Danio rerio: one gene and its partner. The protein of the gene in region 1 binds, or shares a complex with, the protein of each later gene. Links are inferred from orthologs where the notes say so. Each region holds a gene or a part of one and is shown on either strand. Other genes may lie near its edges.

Region 1 (4,304 bases):
TTGTTTTTAAAATGAACACTATGTGGTGGTATGACGCCATTCTTTTTTGCGCTTACCAGCTGACCTCTTAATTCTGTATGGACAGCTTTCCCACTGTTACTAGTTTGTCCAGTTAGCTCACCATGTACGTTGGCTTACTTGAGATACAGAGAGGAGTTGACCAAGATGACAGGGTTTGAGTCCAGTGAAGAATGGTTCCAGAAAGCAGATAAGACAAAAACAGAATCCAAAATTAAATAAACAAGTAAATATCAGGGTGAGAATGTGGTAAAATCTGAAAATGTGTTAATAAGATGAGGATTTTCTTTGTCTGGACTGCTTTTTAAAACTGTTGGTTGAGTTTAGGGAAGTGGGTGGGCGGGTCAATCTTTGCTTTTGAAAACACTTAGTCAGTCAGTCAGTCAGTCAGTCAGTCAGTCGACAGCAGCCTCTGGTAGATTTGTGAAAACAAAAACTGCAAAAAAAAAATAAATAAATAAATAAAAAAATTTACATTATGGGACACATTTGCCGCTCTCCAGAAATGTATATAGAGGTATGTTTTCAGAATGAGCCTGGATTGCAAATCTATAAAGTGATTTGAGTGTTCATATAAGTGATTTATAAATGTAATGAATTATAAATTATTATTAATATTAAGCCAATACTCTAAATCAGGTAAGTATGACATGCAAAATGTCCAAGTGGACCGGATTAAGAACAACTAGTTATCCTGTCACTGCAGATCTACATGAATCAAAGTAAAGTATTGTTTAAATGTCAACTCTGTGTATTACGTGCGTTAATAATAATAATAATAATAATAATAATAATAATAATAATAATAATAATAATAATAAACGTCCAAAGTTCATCTTTAGTTTCTGGGAAATACGCACTGTCAAGCTATTTAAACGTACTTTTTCCTTTCGGAATTTTAAATGAGAACACACTGCTTAATTATTTATACAGTTTATACATAAAAACATAATAAAATAGTGCACAAGCACCCTCTCCATGGGAGTGGGTAGAGCTAAATATCCATTTTGGGGCATATGTTTCACTAAACACATAAGACAGAATTTTCTACTAGTCATTCTAGACAGATTCTAGATGTTTACATTTACTTTAATTATACATTTTTAAAATGATTTTATACAAACAAATGCCTTTTAGAAAATATTAATAGTAAACAAGACCTCTTTTGATCACTACTATACATTTAGTGTGCTTTATTACAAACTTTTGTGATTCATTAAAATAATTTGTGTGATTCACAAAACAAATAATTTATATACAAAAATTAAACATGCTTTTAAATCATCATCACTACCGCATTTTTGTTTTATTTTTTTTTATGAAAAACATTTGGTTGAACATGTTTATATATATATATATATATATATATATATATATATATATATACAAATTAGTGCCAACAATATTGTAATTCTAAATAACTAAACTTGACCCCTTCTGACCTGTAAATGCATAATACTCAAAAGGGGTCTAATGGAAAGTAATAAGTGATAAACAAAAGGAGAGGGGCCGCTAAAAATGAAAGATGTGCTTTTCCCATGTCCATGTAAGAGGATGGGTGAGTAAGGCTGGGGAATTGGTGTCTCGGTGACGTGCGCACAGGCAATATTTTATTGCAGAGGCAGAACAGTTCTTCTCCACCTAGCGCGCGCTCAAAACGCACGAAGAGCACCTGCTGATGAAAACATGAATCTGTGAGCGCTGTCAGTACGAGAAATCAAAAGGATTATCGATATCATCATAAACTTTAACAGGTTAACATGAAAAAAGTATGAAAAGAATATTAATTTTGTGATGCGCGTAAATGAGCACATTCTACTTAAACCCCGTTGCTGATGCTGCTGCTGCTGGACTCCAGTAAACTTTACAGGATTTTCAGCCTCCTCTGAAAAATCAATAACCCAAGGAAATTAACTGCAGAAGACTTCCTTTTCACGACGAAGCATCAAAATAAGCTCACGCTGAAGATGGGCACCCAAAACAACAGTGATTTGGACAGACCTAGAAGCAACATAGACTTAGAAGCACCTGAAAAAAACCTATTTGGCATCGGCACAGACAACTTAGTCACGCTTCTGATTTTCGGACTCATATTTACTCTTGGCGTCCTTGGAAACTCTCTGGTGATCACCGTTCTGGCTCAACGCAAACCCGGACAGCAACGAAGCACCACCAACATCTTCATCCTCAACCTCAGCGTGGCAGATCTGTCCTACCTGCTCTTCTGCATCCCTTTTCAGTCCACAGTCTACATGTTGCCCACATGGATCTTGGGCGCCTTTATTTGCAAGTTCATCCATTACTTTTTCACCGTGTCCATGCTCGTAAGCATCTTCACCTTATCAGCCATGTCGGTGGACAGGTACATCGCCATAGTGCATTGCAGAAAGTCTTCGTCCATTCGAGTTGCGAGGCATGCGCTGATCGGGGTGCTGGTCATATGGGTGCTCTCTTTCGCCATGGCCACTCCGGTCGCCTACTATCAGGGCATCGTGGAAAGTGAGGACAACAGCACGTTTTGCTGGGAAGTGTGGCCAGATCACGACAGGAGAAAAATCTATGTGGTCTGCACTTTTGTTTTTGGATATGTGCTGCCGCTGATTCTGATTTCTTTCTGTTATGCCAAGGTTGGTGGATTGCCTTTAATTGTAGCTCGATAATGTAAAGTTTTGATCCTTATTCATGCAAAATATGGATAGTTTATAGTCTATTAAACAAGTCACTGGAAAAAAAAAGATGCTTAAGTAGGCTAATTGAGAAGCAGGAATCCTTTTTTGCCGAGCTCCTAAAAATAATCTTTGTACTTGTTTACATATTTACATTATATTTTATAGGATTTTCTTTCGATAAAAGTTTCAAGAATCTGTTAAGTTATGTTTTATGTTCATTTTATTCCACTGTTTTATTTGACCTGAACAAAATGTCTTCTAGGTCCTGTTTATTTGATGCCTTTATCACATAGCAACAAAATGTAATCCTGCATTAATATTTTAACTCATATGAATATGTATTATTAAAAATAAATTAATAATAATAATAACAATAATAATAATAATAATAATAGAGTTTCCCAGCTTGCAGCTGAAAGGAATTTGCTGTGTAAAACCTTTTTCTAGATAAGTTGGGGTTAATTCCACTGTGGCGACCCCTGATGAATAAAGGGACTAAGCCAAAGAAAAATAAATTAATAAAAAAAAAATAATAATAATAATAATAATAATAATAATAATAATCATAATCATCATAATAATACAATTATAGTTTAAACTATTTTGATCTATTGTTATTTAAAAAAACAAAATCACTTTTTTATGTACACTTTTAACATTTTATATGAAAAATGCAATACTTTTTCTTAAACGAGAGGGAGAGAGAGAGAGAGAGGGAGAGAGATAGAATTGTGTGCAAATAATTGTAGGCTAGCAGTATCTACCTTATTTTTAACATAAGAGTGGGCGTATCCATTTTGTATACAAGACTTCTGGTGTCACTCCTTTCATTTATGTTAACACAAAGCAGCTCATTTTATTGCCTGATATTGCAAAAAAAATATATATATGCCTTTTTACAATATTATAATATATTGTCATAAACGCAAATTGATTTCTAGTATGAAGAGTTTTACAATTTATTACACCTTTATTTTTTTATTGCAGCCCTAATAAACCAGAAGTCTCACACACATTTTACAGAAAATAGTTCATTTCTGCATCACAAATTATAATGTGAATATTAAGAAACCTTTGCCCCATTTCATTTTTATTTCAAACCATTATGTGCCTATTTGTTCTCAGGTCCTCAATCATTTACATAAAAAGTTAAGAAACGTCTCCAAAAAGTCAGAGGCCTCAAAAAAGAAGGTAAGAAAAGTTAAATGTATTTGTTTCAGATATGTTTAATTACAAATTTATTTTGTTATATATTTATATACAGCTGGGAAAATAAGCATTGAACAAACTTTAGTGATTTAGTCAACATTTTTCTCAGAAATCATATCTCTAAAGCTGCTGTTGACTTAAATTGTTCCCTGGATAATGGTAACAAGCAAATAAATCCATACATGCAAAGAAAACAAACCTATTTAGTTGACAAATTAAGTTATGCGTAATAAAATTAAATGAAAAAGTATTGAATGCATGAAGAAAGGGAGAAGTAGAATGGAAGTAAAAGCCCTGACAGCAGCAGAAATCCCTCAGTAGTTTTTCAGCAACCCTCTGCCCTTCAATCCAACATCTACATTACCAGGATGATGAAGATGAAACCAGAGTGGACATTTCATTGTTACA
Region 2 (3,122 bases), on another chromosome or scaffold:
TCTGTCCCAAACAAAAACAACAACAATAAAACAAACCAATAAAACAAAACCAGACATTCCTGGCATAATGTGGCATTAGCACCATATGTGTGCCACGGGGAGGTCTAAATGAATATGAATATGAGCGGCGGGGCTGCAGGGTCTGCTGGTGAATATTGGAGTGCCTCTTCAAATGATCATTGGGATTGTGTGTGTGTGTGGTTGTGCTTTTATGATCAGATGCCATTGATAGTCACAGGAGCCTCAGCGACAAACACGGACTGGCAGGAAAGAGAGAAATGCCTTTAGATGAGGATTTCAAGACAGGTAAGACACATGTGGCGCCGGCGGGGCTCATTACTGACATTGTTAATAATGCTGTTTTAGGCTTTGGGAGTGGATTGAAATATTCATTAATTGTTAATGTACAGATGCACAGATGTTGAAATGGAAATAATAAACGATAATGAGTTGTTTGTTTATGTTTTTTTAAGGAGCTCTGAGGATAGCAGATGAGGATGTCGTCCATACCATCATTGACTTTCTTTCGTATCTCAAATTAAAAGGTAAGCGGGGATAAATAAGTTACATAACAAATAAATTAATATAAAAAAACTATACACAGAACACCCCTCACAAATCTCTATTTTAAATTCATATTAGTGATAGGAAGCTATACAATATTATATTTGTGCATATACATGAGATTAGTCAGTACTGAAGCCAAATCTGGAGCTTATAACTCCAAATAACAAAAATAACTTTCCATAACGGTCCACATACTAGTACAACCAAATTTATGTTAAACAGAAATATTAAATACAATTTTTTAAAAAGAGTCAAAATTAAGAGAAGCTTAAAATTGTAAAAATTTAGTTGAAATCTTGAAGGTTGTATTTTTTAAAAAATATTTTGCTTGAATTTAATTGTATAATCTTTACATTTCTAAATATGTTTGGTAACAAAAATATTATTTTAATAAAAATATCTGTTTAATAAATCTGTTTTGTTTAAATGGACCAAAATACAATACCTATGTTGACTGGGAAATGGATAAAAATATTCATTCTCAAAATGGGGTGTACTCATTTATGCTAAGTGCTATATATATATATATGAATTTACATATTATTTAATTTATTATAGATATAATTTTATAAATATTTTTTATTAATTTAATTTAGAATTATATATAGTATATTTATTATATGTATTATAGTATATTAAAATGCAAGAAATCAGTAAAAGAAGACATTTCAAATATATTTTGTATGTAAAAAGTTTCAAATATTTTTTTTCACAAAAATCTAAAAAGCAACTAAATATTAAAATAATTAATTAATAAAAATTTATAAAAAATAGTAAAATATATTACCAACATTGAAAATAAAACATTTTTCTAAATAAATCATATTAATATAATTAGAAAATATTTCTTAATAATCATTAATATAATAAAAAATATATATTTGAATTATTTTTTTAATAAATTACTTTGAAATTATTTTAAATAGTCATAATATTTATATTGGATTTCGTAAGACAAAAACAGTACAAAAAAAAACTTACTTGCAAAAAAAACAACAACAACAACAACAAAAAACCCTCTTTCTGACCCGGTACATAATGCATGATGATATTTTTATAATATATTCTGAGACAAACATTTATGAAAATCATCTGCTGTGTGACTAATTCATTTCGTTGAATATATTCAATTTCCACTCTTATCTCGTATTAAAAAACTTTAAAAAAAAAACGTTTACTAGAAATTATCCAATTTACTCCAATATTAATAAACAGACCTCATCATAAAATCATAAACCTCTCTAGTTCTAAAAAGTAGAAAAATCCACTGTTCACCCAATATATAGCTAAAGTCAAAATTAGTAGCCCTCCTGATGTTTAAAAAAAATCTAAACTGCTTTAATCTAGCCGAAATAAAATAAATAAGACTTTCTCCAGAAGAAATATACTATAGGAAATACTGTGAAAATTCCTTGCTCTGCTAAACATCATTTGGGAAATAATTGTAAAAGAAAAAAATAAATAAATCACTAGAAAGTGAATCATTTTGACTTCAACTGCATCTTGACTGAGGAAGTGAATTGTTCTTATTGTCCCCATTTGTACTTTTTTCTTCATCCTGCAGAAATTGGGGCTCTGGACAGCCTGCCGTCCTCTCTCACATCAGAAGAGATCAGTCAACCCTAAATTTGACCGAAGTGAGCACTCGCACACCCTGACCTCCTCCACTGTGTCACGCTGAACTCTTTCTCTCTCAGAGGCTGTTCATTCACACTCATAACACGCTAAACCTTCAATATGGCCACGTATTCACAATCACTCGACGGCTGATGTGGAGATGGATTCAAAAATAAAACTCATAAATGGCATTCCACTCAGCTTATCCTCTGTCTGATCTTTTAGTTTTCAATATCTTTAATCATCAGTCTAAAATGTTGATATTTTGAAAAAAAAAAAAAAAGTCATTTATTTGATCAAAAATACTGTAACATGATAAAACGAAGAAATATTCACTTTCTTTTCGACTTAGTCCCTTTATTAATTAATGGTCACCACAGCGGAATGAACCGCCAACTTATCCACCATATGTTTTACGCTGTGGATGCCTTTCCAGCTGCAACCCGGTACTGGGAAACATCCATACACACTCATACACTACAGACAATTCAGCTTACCTAATTCACCTATAGCGCATGTCTTTGGACTTGTGGGGGAAACCAGACTCCAGAGCACCCGGAGGAAACCCACACCAACACGGGGAGAACATGCAAACTCCACACAGAAACACCAACCGACCAAGTCAAGGCTCGAACCAGTGACCTTCTTGCTGTGAGGCGACAGCGCATAAAAACCTTCTGGATAAGTTGGCGGTTCATTCCGCTGTGGCGACCCCGGATTAATAAAGGGATTAAGCCGACAAGAAAATGAATAAATAAATGAACACAAAGTGATGTTTTATAAACAAATTTCAGAAGGAGCATGATCAGTCTTTGACGAGGCCAAGTCATCACACACACAATCATTCTATTATCCAATCCGCTCAAGAGCAAACCCCTATAGTCAAACATGTCATACCTCCGTTTTCTCTCGAATTCAGCATCCCTCCACCACCCCAA

What was found.
Region 2: the proteins of galr1a (region 1) and gal are in contact, whole or in part, in a cryo-EM structure (PDB 7WQ3), measured with the Homo sapiens proteins. The link is inferred for Danio rerio from reciprocal best matches to the Homo sapiens genes GALR1 and GAL. Residues at the interface, in NP_001471.2 of Homo sapiens: Glu32, Gln92, Thr94, Val95, Tyr96, Leu98, Pro99, Thr100, His112, Gln174, Phe177, Arg180, Gln184, Phe186, Cys187, Trp188, Glu189, Gln190, Ile266, His267, Ala270, Phe275, Leu277, Ser281, Phe282, Arg285; in NP_057057.2 of Homo sapiens: Gly33, Trp34, Leu36, Asn37, Ser38, Gly40, Tyr41, Leu42, Leu43, Gly44, Pro45, Val48.

What each region holds. Positions count from the first base shown.
Region 1 is NC_133194.1:24,322,176-24,326,479, forward strand, and holds the start of galr1a (galanin receptor type 1), read left to right. Parts: upstream 1-1,310; 5' UTR 1,311-1,985; coding exon 1,986-2,645; intron 2,646-3,812; coding exon 3,813-3,878; intron 3,879-4,304. UniProt on the Homo sapiens protein: Receptor for the hormone galanin. The activity of this receptor is mediated by G proteins that inhibit adenylate cyclase activity.
Region 2 is NC_133200.1:11,373,101-11,376,222, reverse strand, and holds the end of gal (galanin peptides preproprotein), read left to right. Parts: intron 1-219; coding exon 220-306; intron 307-473; coding exon 474-545; intron 546-2,131; coding exon 2,132-2,193; 3' UTR 2,194-2,378; downstream 2,379-3,122. UniProt on the Homo sapiens protein: Endocrine hormone of the central and peripheral nervous systems that binds and activates the G protein-coupled receptors GALR1, GALR2, and GALR3.